2 linked regions of the Lepisosteus oculatus genome follow. The protein of the gene in region 2 purifies or fractionates together with the protein of the main gene of each other region. This does not show direct contact. Links are inferred from orthologs where the notes say so. Each region holds a gene or a part of one and is shown on either strand. Other genes may lie near its edges.

Evidence for each region. Proteins that work in one complex are often made in the same cells at the same time.
Region 1: the proteins of baz1b (region 2) and myo1cb purify together in Homo sapiens (affinity purification with western blotting; 3 studies listed by BioGRID, with this or other methods). This does not show direct contact. The link is inferred for Lepisosteus oculatus from reciprocal best matches to the Homo sapiens genes BAZ1B and MYO1C.

What each region holds. Positions count from the first base shown.
Region 1 is NC_090721.1:11,143,855-11,151,718, forward strand, and holds the start of myo1cb (myosin Ic, paralog b), read left to right. Parts: upstream 1-4,762; coding exon 4,763-5,086; intron 5,087-7,864.
Region 2 is NC_090721.1:440,736-447,976, reverse strand, and holds the start of baz1b (tyrosine-protein kinase BAZ1B), read left to right. Parts: upstream 1-4,232; 5' UTR 4,233-5,183; coding exon 5,184-5,302; intron 5,303-7,241. Other genes in the region: tectonic-like complex member MKS1, read left to right, coding at 65-147, 1,442-1,539, 2,552-2,655. UniProt on the Homo sapiens protein: Atypical tyrosine-protein kinase that plays a central role in chromatin remodeling and acts as a transcription regulator. Involved in DNA damage response by phosphorylating 'Tyr-142' of histone H2AX (H2AXY142ph).

The DNA of each region.
Region 1 (7,864 bases), about 11 Mb from region 2:
CTAGAGGACCGTGCGACAGCTAAAGCATTACTCGCCCTGATGTCTGGGTACGTGCTACATGGCTTCTCTAAGCGGCAGTTGAGCCTCTACACTAATATACTATATAAGGCAGCAGAGTGTGTATTAACACTGCGCTTGCTTTGACTGGAGAGGTCCTCTGGGGTTCTTGTGAGATGAACTGACTGTTAATAACGTGATGATCATTTAAACGCGGCGCTTTTGCTACAAGTCGCCGGCAGTAGGGAATACAGTTACATCAACCACCAGGGGTCGGCAGACTCCCGGCATTGCAGGGAGCCCTGAATCTGAGCAGGTCGGGGTTTCCGTGTTTTTGTCGCGGCTGCCTGTCGGGGGGGTGAGGAAGACTCTACAGGAGAGCCCCCTTGCTCCGCGCGAGTGGACGGCCCCGTGCGAGGCTTGGGACGCTTTTTTGTTTTATAAACGACATCTAGCTGAAGGTCGGCCAAGGGTCCTTGTCGCCGCTGTAAACTCTTGAGCTGAAGGAGTTCGTGACCCACTTGTTGCCGGACAGGACGGAGATGGGCCGGGGGCTGCTGTGGTGCCTCACACGCCACGACAAGAAGCGAAACACTGAAGCATTAACTTAGAATTAGGAACACAGTTAGGAAACCAGTTGCTGCTCGGATAGGAGACTGGAGGCTAATTCATAACAATAACAATCATCATTGTTTTAAATAGCGCCTTTAAAGGTGACTTCTCATAGCGCTTAAAGCGTTTTTGCGTAGGTTTCTCGTTCATAAGGTGGAACGTAGCTTTAACGAGGAAAACACGTTTTCGCCCCATATTTACTCGTATTAAATTGGAATATTAGTTTTATTTTGATTTGATAAATCACGGAGCACGGCAGCATTTTTAATAGATCAGCAGCCTGTTTGGCAGCCTCTTGTTGGCCCTCTCACATGAACAGATCTCAGAACACGTCACGCGTGGAGCCTTTGCCAGGCTGATCAGCTTGCGTGGAGATCTCTAGTTTGTCCACGCGTGCCATGAGCTGTGAGGCCCGGTTCAGATTGGGATTGACAGATATGACCACCTTTAGTGCTTTGTAGGTTTTTTTTCTTTAGGTTATTTTAAATCCACATCAGCGTGTTTCCGATGTCCAGTAAACTTGTTTTGACCATTTCCTCCGGACAGTCCAGCGCCGCTGTACCGGCGGCGACATCAGAACCTCGCGAGGAAGACGAGCTGGCGAGCTGACCCAGTTCGGGTCGGTTCATTTCCGCCGTGTTTTCAACTACATAATGTGCATTCCGTCAGAATGCCTTCATTTTTTCCTGTTTTGTTCGTGTAAAACCAATTCCAGAGATCTTCCATTAGCATCTGAACCTGTCATTAAGGTATGTGGTATTTAAGGCATTTCTAAACTGTGAAATTGCAATAAAAAATCGCAATGAATGTATGTAAATGTTGTTTCTCTCACTACCTATTTATTTATACATTTCTTATAAATAAATCTATTATATACTCTTGTTGTGATTTCATGCAGTTCATGGGATGTTATGTGACTTTTATGTTTTGCGTGTGTGTTTTGTACTTGTACTTGATGGGAGAAGCCCAAGACAAATGTCCACAGTGGGAAGGACATTCTCAAGCACAGAGGATCACTGACAGAGCCGCTAACCCGGTGTCTGTGTCTCCTGCCGCCTCCTTCCTGTCCATGCGACGTGACGGTTCTCTTTCTGTCAGAACAGCAAGAAACTGCAATTAATCAAGCTTTTGCCACAGTGGGAAATCCGTTTGCGTCCCTCCCTGTCCAGCCCGGGCCCGTACCCTCAGCACACTGGTAACACAGTAACACAGGAAGCCTAAATAGCACCTCGACGGTGGGCTGCGCGAGGCTCTGGGCTGTAAATGTCAGAGGATGTTTTCCCAGACACTGCTAGAGGAAATACCGCAGTCCTGCTTTGCTTGTTGTTTCTTACTCCGTAGGAAATTAATGTAAAGTTAGCTGCAAAGAAGTGAGAGGACAAAAACTTGTTGTTTTTTTTCAGGCCAGGTTTGTGCTGGAAGCCTTGGGCTGTGCTTCCTGTTGATGCCCAGCAAGACTGCCCCTCTCCTGCACGGTCAGAGTTCAAAGGATGTGCATCCAGTTCCTTCTCCTCCTGCTGGGAGCTGTCCCGCCCTGCAGCTCGGTGCAGACACACACAGAGCAGAGCCCTCTGCCAATCGCCATGAGGCCCGACTCTGTGTGATGATGAGCACTCGTGTGCCCATGTGCCCTTGTCCCTATGTGCCCGTGTGCCTGTGTGGCCTAAGTGGGGATCCAGCACACCTGGCTCACTCAGCCTCCTCACCTCCATGTCTCCTGCCTGGCTCACTCAGCCTCCTCACCTCCGTGTCTCCCGCCTGGCTCACTCAGCCTCCTCAGCTCCGTGTCTCCCGCCTGCCTCACTCAGCCTCCTCACCTCCGTGTCGGCTGGGCTCACTCAGCCTCCTCAGCTCCGTGTCTCCCGCCTGCCTCACTCAGCCTCCTCACCTCCGTGTCACCTGGGCTCACTCAGCCTCCTCAGCTCCGTGACGGCTGGGCTCGCTCAGCCTCCTCAGCTCCGTGTCTCCTGCCTGGCTCACTCAGCCTCCTCAGCTCCGTGTCTCCCGCCTGCCTCACTCAGCCTCCTCACCTCCGTGTCACCTGGGCTCACTCAGCCTCCTCAGCTCCGGTTCGGCTGGGCTCACTCAGCCTCCTCAGCTCCGTGACAGCTGGGCTCACTCAGCCTCCTCAGTTCTGTGTCACCTGGGCTCACTCAGCCTCCTCAGCTCTGTGTCGGCTGGGCTCACTCAGCCTCCTCAGCTCCGTGACAGCTGGGCTCACTCAGCCTCCTCAGTTCTGTGTCACCTGGGCTCACTCAGCCTCCTCAGCTCCGTGTCGGCTGGGCTCACTCAGCCCCCTCAGCTCCGTGTCTCCCGCCTGGCTCACTCAGCCTCCTCAGTTCTGTGTCTGCTGGGCTCACTCAGCCCCCTCAGCTCGGTGTCATCTGGGCTGAGGAGTCACGCTTGATTCTCGGACAGCGATCCCCATGGTGTCGAGAGCAGAGCCAGCTTGTCTGCCTGAAAACAGGGGCTGAAGATGCCCTGGCCAGCTCCCGTGTGGGACTCCAGTCCTGCCCCATCGTGAGTCCATGCTGGACACCCCCCGGCCTGCCTGATTCGTGCAGGACCAGATACCACTCCGGCGTCCTTTACTGCCCCTGTCAGGGTCCGCAGTCGAGTCACTCGCTTCATCCTTCACACACGATGGCCTGGCATCTCTCTAGACCACAGCACTCCCACAGAGAGGAAGGAGGAGAGCTTTAATGTTTCACTATAGCACGGACAGCCAACCGAAAAAGGAATTAAACCTTTTCGAGAAAGACCACTTCCACCACTTCAGGTCGCACACAGCCACCAAGGAAGAGGAAACTCACCAGAGACTGTGTTTGACTTCTGGAGTAGTATTCCCAGCATTATTTGTGTGCAGATTTCCTTTTCTCTGCACATGTCCCACTCTTGTATGCATTCATATAAATTACTGACATCACTGCAGGGAGTGCACATCTTCCTCGTCTTTTAAGCCTTTCCTTACTAATTGTGTCACAATCGTAAGCCCCTCCTCTTAAGGATGCCCCAGCTCTTTCTTGTTTCTCTTGATTTTTTGCACCTGCCTCCTGTTCCAGCCCTTCCCTACAAAAGCCAGACGCTCCCACCATTCCGGGCTCAGCTTTGGAAGATGGACGCCCGGAAGCCTACCTACCAGCGAGTCCAGGAGTGCCACGATGGCATTGGCTTCACAACGGCGACCTGACCGTCTGGGTCCGGGGCTGGGAGCGCCTGGCCACGTTCCTCGTTTTTAATCCCCCGACCCTTCGCCGGATCCAGCTCCGGCTTTTAACTTCTGTCATGGCTGCCTTGGTTTGGATAACCCGGCTCAAGACTCTTGCATTCTCTGGATTTCCCTTCGGACCCCCTTTGGACTTGTTTGCCTTGGTTTGCCCCCCCCCCCCCCCCCCCCCGAGCACCAGTGCACCGTTGACATGCCCCCCTGTTCTTCTTCCAGCCCCGATCCCAGTCTTTTTTCCCCATGTTTGTCTCACTCCCCTCCGGATTCTGCCGTCTGCATAGGGTCCTGAAAAAACGCTTCGTGACAAATTGCCCACGCCCCAACCTTTGGCCACCCTAGTGGACCCAGTGGAGGAGCCCCCAAGGAGACAAGAAGCTTGACACAAATTTCAGGGTACCAAGAGAGACTCGCAAGAAGAGAAGCAATGATTCACCACAGGGATTTCAGAGAAGCCAACTTGTTGGAAGACCAGGGTACAGGGCCCACTGTGTCCAGCTTCAGCGATGCTGAGCCCTGTCCACCCAGTGTCCAGTTTTTTGGGGGTTTGAGAGGCCTCCAGCATGGGGGCAGCCTGGTTAGGGTTTCCTTGTCTTCTCCTTGTCTTCGCCCCGGTGTAAAAGTTATCCGATTTCAAGCCAGTCGACAGGCAGGGGGCAGGCCCAGGATTCGCTGCGGCACTCAGCCGCCCTCTCCCGGCTGCTCAGTGCTCAGTTGGTGTTTAAAAAGAGAAAGAAAAGAAAACAAAACAGCCTCCTTCTTGTTTTCCAAGGGAAACGTTCGCCCTCTTTATTTATGTTTGGAGCCCAGAGCAGGATACAGCAGCTTTCAGAAAGTCTTTAAGGAAGCCCTGACGTGACCCCCACAGCTTCAAGGCTCTGCAGGAGAACATCAATTACAGCGCGTTTGGAACAGGACTTGACACCCTGGATGTGCTCTCCCGCCTCGTTGTGGAAGTGCGCACTTCATCCTCCACCCCATCCAGGTACCACAGCTCTTTCCCTCCTCTCTCTCAAGAAACAAAGACTCCCCTTCAGTTCCTCCCAGTGCACAGCTGAGCCAGACCAGCTTCTGGAGTCTCCTCTCTCCTTCTCCAGCATTAGAGCTTTTCTGGGGTCGGATACGTCTGAACGCCCAGTCTTTCCAGCTGGCACTAGGGGAAAGATGGAGCTGAAAATCCAACTAATTCCGACTGGGGAGATTATTCTGCCTCCTGGGAAGAATGGGGAATGTTTCTGCAGTAACTGCATCAAGGTGAGAAGGATTTTTTGCTTTCTTTGATTCGGTCTGATGTTTGGATGTTGAAATATGCAAAAAACGACATAAAATATGGTTGGAACACAGAGAGATGTCTTGCTGAAAGATTAAACAGAAATTAAATGGCTTTTTTTTTGCAAACCCAAGGGCAGGGTTAGCAGAGGAGAGAATAATGAATTGGATATTGTGCTGGAGATCTGTGATAATCCAACACTAGTCAAGTTTCCTTCGGTTTGTGACTGAAAGACCGTAATGTACATTGTGTATCGCTGGATGATGTGTCTAGTTGTGTTCTGTCATTGTTTCTGTGTTTTCTCCCCTGCTGGGTTTGCATTTTAAATTAATCAAAATAAAAGAATTGTTAAAAAACTAGTGAAGTACAGTCCAGCCAGCTGTTTAGCAACATTGTGCACAGTCCAGATAAAATCTCAATGCATTGGCTACGTCCCTGGTCATGTGAGCTTGGTCCCAGTACCCTAGCGAGACAGAGACATGATACTGAGCCGAATATCTTCCAGAGCACTGCAGGCACGCATGGGGAAGAGTGAAGAAACACAGGAGATCTGCAGAAATACTTCAAAGGTCAAGGGCCAGTGGGACAAAGTCTAGCACAGTGCTTCCCAAACTTTCCAGCTCACAGCACACGTTTAACATCCTAAGTGTTTTACAGCACACCACATGATTCTAAAATACATAGAAATAAATACAAAGAAATGCACTTTTAACTGAAACACAGACTACAATTTTGATGAATAATATCACCGCCACTCTTTATACTAGAATTTCAGTGGGAAATGTGAGCTTGTTTCAGTGCAGACAAACTTTGAAGATTGGGTTCAGAGCTGGAAAGAGCTGCTGTGCATGACGATCCTGACCCACACTTTTTAAACACGACTGACCTGACTCCACGACACAGCTGAGACCTTTCTGCCAGAGACACAGGACACCGGACACACTACCCTAGAAGCCAAAAAGCAGAGAGGAGCAGAAAAGCAGAAAGCAGAAGTGATCTGCGCAGATACACTGATGATCTGATTAAGCATTTCCATCCTGCTGCCGAAGCAGTAGAAACTTCTCTTTTTGTTTTGGTGCCAATTTTTATTTCTTGCCACCAGCACACACATATAGACAGACATTAGTTGATTTCTTGTCTATATATGCAAATAGAGTCCTGTGGGTTTCAGCACGAGCTCGTCCCTGGGACTAACCTGGGTCTGTGCAGGAAGCCCCCAGTTTGGGTGTGGCTGGAAAGACTGTAGAGGGCGCCTCTGCCAGGATCTGGCTCTCAGGAAGCTGCCGTTTCTGGGCAGCCTTCCTGTGGCTCTGGGGCGGCGCTGGCCAGTGAGAGTGGGCTTCCTGTTCAATACCCCTGTGCTGTGACCCAGTGACAGGAGCCAGTGGTGTGTGTGTGGGGGGGAGGATGGAATCTTTTGTATTCAATTCACTTAAGTTTATTTTTATATAAGATCAGATCACTTTATTGGCCATATACAATTTCTCGCATCAGGAATTTGTCTTTTTGCATACCCCAACTTGCTCTCCATGAGACACACAGACAGGGAGAGAAGCTGGGGGTCAGAGCGCAGGGTCAGCCATTTATATGGTGCCCCTGGAGCAGTTGGGGTTAAGGGCCTTGCTCAGGGGCCCAACGGAGTAGGATTCCTCTGCCGGCTGCGGGATTTGAACCGGCAACCTTCCAGCCACAGGCGCAGATCCTGAGCCGGGGTGCAATTGCTCTGCCCATATACCGCCATATAGCGCCTTTCACAACAAGGTTGCCCGAAGGTGCTTAACAAAGCAAGTGACCAGACGTATTGTGAATACAGAACAGAAAAGACCAGAAGACAACGGAGGAGAGGAACCAAAAACTCCTCAGTAAGGAGAAAAAAAACCTCCAGGGGTCCAGGGTCAACTGGCTGTCCAACCCCTCTGGCATGCTAACATTATACAATTCAAAAAAAGAATAAATGAATAAGGGTATTAAGTTTTTGTATGAAAAATATATAAAGAAAAACATTCTGAATGTCTTAGACATTTTATATGTGGTTGGTGAAAGCTGGTGTTGAATTTTTCTCTGAACGTTCCTCTGTTGGGATGCTCCCAGGAGAATTAGCAGAGGCCTAGAACAGGGGTCCCCCCTCTAGACCACTGGGGTGCAGAATCCAGCTGGTGCTGTGTGTCTCTCTGACCGAACGGGTAAAGACACACTCCTGTGAGGGGGCCCAACCCTCCTCACAGGAGATGAACTGTTTCTACACACTAAGGACGCAGAACACCTGCTGGACTCTGGGCCCTGAGGACCGGAGACCTCATGGCCGGCCACCTGGCGGGCTGGTTTAATTGTCCAGTAGACTGGGGGACGAGCCGCACGGCGCTGGGGCCCTGGGTTCAGTTCCTGGGGTGCTGTCTGTGTGGAGTTTGTATGTTCTCTTTGTGTTTGTGTGGGTGTCCTCCCCCAGTCCAAAGAAATGTTGGTAGGGTCTTTGTCTTCAGGGAGTAATTGGTCCTGATGTGTCTGACTGCCCTGTGATGGACTGGCCTCCCTCCCAGGGTGTACCCCACCTTGCGCCTGTGTGCTCTGGTTCCCATGTGACCCTAAATTGGATGAAGTGTTTAGAAAACGGATGGACTGTGGGATCTGATCACAAACCCGATGGAGTATTTTAACATCAACTTAAGAGTCTGCTTTCAACTACATATTATTTGAAGTGATAAAAAAAACAAATCTTCTAAATATCTCGTGGAGTGCGGGTCGGGTTTTGTCTAAATGTCCCC
Region 2 (7,241 bases):
GGCATGAGAAGCTGAATTCCCTCCTCTGCCTCACCGCTCTCACCCATGACTCTTCCTTCCCCAGGGGGAGCGTCTGAGCCGCTTCGGCTTCCGCAGTGAGACCACTGGCCGTGTGACCTTTGCCCTGCACTGCATTCAGCACTCAAGGTGAGGGGTGAGGGTCCGCTGTGGGCACCGGCTCCTGTGTCACTCACGACACCGGAGCGTCTGGTGTTTATGAAGAGGATGCACTCATTTAAATCCAAAACAAATCGTTTGGGAGGGGAGCAGAACTTTGAAATTCAGGGTTGTCTGATTTGTGTAAAGTGGGGGAATCAAATAAATGAGTTGACCCCAAGGTCGTGACCTGACATCCAGTCCCCACGCACCCCCATCTGATGAGTGACTGCATGAACCCCTCTGGGAATCGGGCTGTTCATCCCCAGATTATGCAAAACATATGCAAATATTTACTGTAAAGGAAGATGTTGATGTCCAACTCTGCACATTATAAATGACTTAAGGAGAACTGCACAAGTAAGAATGTGCAGTATAGATTATGGAATAGATTCCAAAAGGCTGAACAAGCTCATCAGGAGAGCGAGCTCTGTCATTGGGTCTGACCTGGACCCCTTGGAGGTAGTGGCTGAGAGGAGAATGATGTCCAAACTGGAGGCCATCATGGACAACTTCTCCCATCCCCTCTATGACAGGCTTGCAGGAATGAAGAGCACGTTCAGCAATAGACTGATTCATCCACGGTGCGACAGGGAGCGCTACAGGAGGTCATTCTTGCCGTCTGCCATAAGACTGTACAACGCATCCACCTTGCGTCTTGGCAGAGGCAACAGCGACAGTGACCTGTTTCTGGACTAAACGCATATACACATATACTGCTACATCTGTTCTCTTTCTTTTTCTTTTTCTTTTTCCCGTTTACAACCACTTTTGTGCAATATATGCCAGGGACCTGTGCAATACATTTATATTTATATTTATATCTATGGTTACATCTATATTTATATTCATACGTGTGATACGATTTTCTGTGTACTGTTCTGTTCTAGTTTCCTCTTGTGTGTCCGGACTGTGAGTAACTCTTGTATTGTATTGTATGTATTGTACTATTAGTATATAATTCGTTACACTGTGGCTGTGTTGTGTGTGTTAAGCTGCTGTTGCACTGCAATTTCCCTCACGGGATCAATAAAGTATCTATCTATCTATCTATCTAATGTGTCATAAATATAAAGCAAAGGTATCACATAATTATTGTTGGTCTTTATCTTACAAGATGATTTAAGGAGAACTGAAAACCCTGCTGAATTCTGATCAATGATGACTCTCGAGCTAGAAAAAAACATTTTTAAAATAAAAAGGAAAATGTGTTGCAGCAGGGCTTTCTTAATCAGAAATCAAAGTATAGAAGCATTCTTCCTGTTGTTGTCTCTCCACATCACAGGGCTTTTATTGATGCCAGTGCTCTGAGGAAGAGGAGGCAGAGTGTCCTGGACCAGCTGGGAGGGTTCAGCCAGCAGGGCTCCATCTACAATGTGCTGGGTAAGACACTGGCTCAGACTTACACACCCCTGCAGTTCTCTGTACCCTCCTTGCCCACACCTGGTGAGAGAATTTCACTCCGAGAACAAAAGTGTTCAACAAAAGAATTAAAATCAAGGGAAGTAAAATTTTAAAATGCACTAAAGAGATGTGGAAGTGCATTCAAAAGCTAAAACAGAAGGCGCTTCTTTACCCTAAGGCTTGTGGGAATAGGTAACAAGTTACCCAGCCATGCTGTTGGAGCTCCAGGGGTGCTGTACAATGGCTGCGCTCTGACCCCAAGCTTCTCTCCCTTTCTGTGTGTGTCTCATGGAGAGCAAGCTGGGGTATGCGAAAAGACAAATTCCTAATGCAAGAAATTGTTTATGGACAATAAAGTGATCTTTTCTCTCTTATGTCTTCAGACTATGGAAGGAAACCCACATGAACATTGGGGAGAACATGCAAACTCCACACAGACCGCACCCGTTCAATAATTAAACCCAGGGCCCTAGCACTGCGAGGCAGCAAGGCTAACCACTTCACCCTGCTGTCCATAATTAGATCTATTCAGTCAATCATGACCTTGAAGTGGAATACAAAGCAATAATACTGATAGCCCACCAGGAACTGAGTATGACACCCCTTCCTTATGATGACAGATTTTTTGCTTTACAGGCAGGTACAGTCTGCTGTTTTTTGAGCAATCTACCTGGGTTTCTTTGTGAAAATGCAAGCTGATAGGGTGAATGATCTTTCCTAACCATAACACGTCCATAGTCCATTATGCTCAGAGGGAGAAACGAGAGGTTGAATTCCAGATTCCTTGGATACCGGCCTGCAAAGTACTAGACTTCAGACACGCCCTTTCTTTGGGGTGGGGCCTGGACTCTTCGACCTGGGTGCTAGTTTCATTAATGACCATTTCAGCTACTGTGATTTCTGTCAGAAAAACCTTGGTGTGCTCCTGAGCAATAAAAGTGACCGGTGTAATTAAGAGTACAATCTTAATCACTTTCTCTGCTCTTCCCAGAGGCGTTTCAGAGGGCCCGGAGACGAATGCAGGAGGCTAGGGAGAGCCTTCCCAGTGACCTCATTAACACCACAGCGCCCCCTGCCTCTGAGTCCACTGCATAGAATCAGCACGGGGAACATGTATGCAGCTCTCACAGAAGGCCCGGGAAACATGCTTTCAGTCCTCCTACAGATCACCTTGAGAGATATGCTCAATTAGTAAATCTACAGAAAAAGGCAAAGAGAGCATTGAAATGCCATGAAATTATTTTTACGAGACACTTTGATATTGAATTTGAAATATTTTATAGTAATTGATATCTACTCTGTAATTAATCTGTGTATGGTATTATGTACTGGTATTAAATGAATTTGGATTGGAGAGTATTTTTATACTGTTTGTATTGTAATTGTTTTATATGGAAAATTGTAAATAAAGTTTATTTGCTGTTTTATTTAAGCCATATTTTATAAGATTGAAACCAGAGTTCACTTTCTCTTTTTTATATTTTATTGCACTATTTTTCTGAAATGCTCATCACAGCATCAGTGTTACAACTGGTCACATGATATCCTCAGGGATATCTTGAGGATCTGGGTCCGTGTTGAGGCATTGAGTCTCAATGACTTTTTAACTGGTAGGACTTTTTCCTATTGGCCTGTGCAAATCATGGCCTCCTAATAATCCCCATCTATGAATTGACTTCATTACTCTGCTCTCTTCCCTGCTGATTGCTTATGTGTGGTGAGCGTTCTGGTGCACCATGGCTGCCATCACATCATCCAGGTGGGGCTGCACACTGGTGGTGGTGGAGGGGATCCACATTACCTGTAAAGCGCTTTGAGTGGAGTGTCCAGAAAAGCGGTATATAAGTGTAAGCAATTATTATATAAAAATGTGTGAATGTACTGTGAGTGAAACATCACAATGACACCTATTCCAAGAACACTACTTTCACTGGGACAAGGTTCAACAAAAGCAAGGTCCTTGCAGAGAGGCAATATGACGACCTGTAGAACCCGGTGCTCGAGGGGAATTATTTGTGAGCGTTTTACTCTCAGGGTCCAGGTTTCAGCCACATCAGATGCTGAACACTTATCTGACGCTTGGATGGGGTTTTCTTAGACTCCTAGGACTAGGGGAATCTCATTCCAGGGCTATCCATCCAAATCACCACACCCTCGGCACTGAGATAGCACTGGGAAGTCAGGGGTCTGGACTGGAAACGGCAAGGCTGTAGGCTCGGCTCTCAGGCTGCGTAAAAGATGTTACACACGCCATTTGCTTTGGATTAGACTAGTGTCAGTCAAATAATTACTTTTAATAGCCGTCTGCATGGCGCGGGACGATGCATTAAACTTGGACTTAATTCTATCTTTCCACTTTACAATAATAAAATGCAGGCCTATCGTCAAAAAATAAACTGAAAGTAAGTAACCGAAGATCCAGCAAAGCTGTTACATACGCAGAAACTACTGTTAAATAGAAGTGTCTCGAATACACAAAAGTATCTAACAGCGGTGTTTAATAAACAACAATGGATGATAATAATCGTTTTCTCTCCCTTAGTCCAAATACGCTGCAGCTGCAGGCTGGGATGTGACCATTTCTCTGCCCCCGTCCGTCTCTAAGCGCTCGCAGCGCTGCGCTTTGTTACCGAGCGCCAGCCTGCGGATCCGCGCATAATGGCGCAGCCAGACCTACTTTCGAAACCGCCCGGACACCGTCGCGGAATATTCACGAAAACAACCACCAAAAATCACTCATAACGGAGGGGAGCGAATAGAATTGCCGCTCGGCACAATTAAACAAAACAGAGCGAGGCAATTTATTGATTTATTTATTTTATGCCACCGCTTGACCTTTAACCCTGCGCTTCAACCTAACACCACATCCTCCTCGGGGACGGGGGAGGGCTGCGGGGGGGCGTGGCTGCACTTAATGGACAGCAGGAGCGCCAATGGGCCGGCGCGGCCGTGCTCGAGACGGCGTGGGCAGCCAATGAGCAGGAAGGGACACGGGGGCGGGATCAAGCCGAGCCTGCTGCCGGGGTAACGGAGTTTTTTTGGGGTTGCCGGCGGAGTCGGATCTCCCGCCATTTTTCAATAAGGATTTCACCCTGTTGTTTGTTTTCGCACCTGCTTTATTGTCGCTCACCTTCCCCCTGCACGTCAGGTGAACGGCGAGCCGGGAGCGCCAGAGAGCGGTGTTGTCCTGCGGCGAGAAGCGAGCCGGGAGAAGGCGCGACAGACCCCCGTCTGCGTCCCTGTCTCCGGGAGAGCCCGTCTCCATCCTCAGCCGCACACAGCGGGATCTCCGCGGCCAGGAGGCCAATCACATTTCCCGGCCCGGGCTCCATCGCCGCTCCCCATCCCCGCGCAGACCAGGAGGATGCCGGCGCCGGCTGCCTGAGCCAGCCAGCCAGCCGCAGACGGGCCGGCGAGCCGGCGGGGGAGCCGGTGTGTGACCGTGGCGCCGGGCGAGCCGAGCCTCCTGCATGCCCTACGCGCGGGGTCCCCGGAGCCGCTGTGTGATCCTGCAGTCTGGACTTCATGCGAAGGGCCTCCCCGCTCTCTGTGCGGGATTTCGGACAGCTGCCTGAGCCGAGGAGCTTCTTTCGTCGCCCGTCCGCGCTCCTGTCGCCGGCCCGATGGCACCGCTGCTGGGCCGGAAGCCCTACCCGCTGGTGAAGCCGCTGGCGGAGCCGCCAGGCCCCGAGGAGCTGGTCTACACCATCGAGCACACGAAGGAGGCCTTCAGGAACAAAGAGTATCCTTCCCTTGCCCGCCCCGGGCCTGTCCGCAGCGGCCGGCGCCGGGTGTGCTTGATCCGTGCCCGGGGTCCGGGAGCTCCTCCCCGGCCGCTGAGCCTCTTTGTCCGCCGACAACAACAGGGCTCCCCCGCCGCCTCCGCTCTTCGCGCCGGCTTTTGTTCCGATCGGGGTCTCGCTGGCTGGCCGGGGGTGGGGGGGGGTCCGGGTTTTGACTGTGTGGCTCAACATGTGCTCGTTTGCGGCGGGGTTGCACATGTGCGCGTCTCGGCTGAGACAAAGGAAGTTGCCCGGTGAGGCGCGCAGGGCGGCGGGCTGACAGCGCTGACAGGCGCCGCGGCGGGGCCGCCCGGCCGTTTCCTCGGCGCACAGCTGAGGCGTGAAGCTCGGCTGCGGGCGTTATTGGCAGATTGGCGGCGTTTTATTCTGGGATCGCAGGCGGTGGCAGAGTCGCTCTGATGCGTCCGGCGATTGCAGTCTCCTCTTGGCACTGACGTGTGCGCCTCGCTGCTGGAGTCGGAAGAGGTTTCACACGGTCGGCTGTCCGGGCAGGTGGGGGAGTCCGGCTCGCAGACTCCTCCGATCACATCCGTGATGGTGTTCACAGGCGGGGGCGGACAGCAGCCAGCCTATCCTCAGCCCCACTCCGTGACACGGTGTTTGGAGTGTTTCACAAAATCCCGACCCCCGGGAGTCATTGATCATGTCTCGCAGCTCCAGCGATCAGGAGCCACCGGCTGGTTTCCCTTTCGTGTCGGTGTGCATGTGCCCCAGTCCCGGGGTGAGCGGCGTGGTGTCACCGGGGGCACTGACTGGCACGCCAGCTGCTCAGTGGCTGTGCTGACCCTGCCCGCTGGCGCTGGGGGAGAGAGGGGTGACCGTGGGCAGGGTGGCGACTCCAGAGCCTGGGTGGGCAGTTGTTCTCCCGGGCTGGAGCTGTGCCCCCTGTTGCGCCTCAGCCTGGTGCCCCGCCGGCTGGGGGGGTGCTGCACCCTGTGTCTCTTGCCGGGTGGAAAGCTGCGCTGTGTGGCGATTGTGTGGGTGATGGAGGGGTGCAGAGCTCCGCTGGCCCCAGGCCCGGGTGTCATTGCTGTGCTGGGCCTGGCCCCGTGACCTTGTGCGAAGCGGCTCGTCGGTGGGATCTGCTCTCTGGAGGGTGATCGCGGCCGGCGGAAAAATCTTATTTTCTTAGACATAGAATGTTTCTTTTTTAGGCTTTTAAGCCTGATTACTCAGAAAATTGACCTACTAGTACAGTCACCAGTAAAACACCTCAGGCTTGGTTATATGTGTTGCACTAATGCTGCAAAATAACGCTCTGGACTGTGGAATTGTGATTTCGGGTAAACTCGCTGTAAACTCAGGAACTGAATCTGACACCTTGTAATAGTTTCATTATTCATAGCTGACACCAGTGTTTGATTTCATGAGCTCTAGGTTCTTATGGTAGAAGTTCTACCTATCAGATATAAAAATTAATGTACGCTTATTGTTTTGAATTCATTAATCTTTCACTATTGAATATCTGGAATAAGCTTTAAATGCAGCATTCTCTCCTGCTCATGTAGCGCCTGCCGCTGTGAAGTCACGCTGCGCTGTTGTCCTGAGTTGCGTCCACACCCATGTATTGTTCCAGTACTTAAAAGTACTCATTTTCAAACAGGGGAAAAAATCTTTGACGTCTGTCCTTTTTGTTCCTCTTTTCTAAATCATTGAGCCAGATACGTTAATTCTCATTTTCCTAGATGGCCTGGGCAGTTACCTTTCTAAGCAGCAGGGTTTTAACTAGAGAAAGAGTGACACCTCTCCTGGGATTTGAACCCGCAACCTCCTGGTCTGGAGTCCACTCCCCCACGCTGCTTGGCCTGTGTTGTCACCCGTCCCTCTGAAACCGTGCACTTCCTCCAGTATGGGGGAGGAGGGTGTAGGATTACTCGA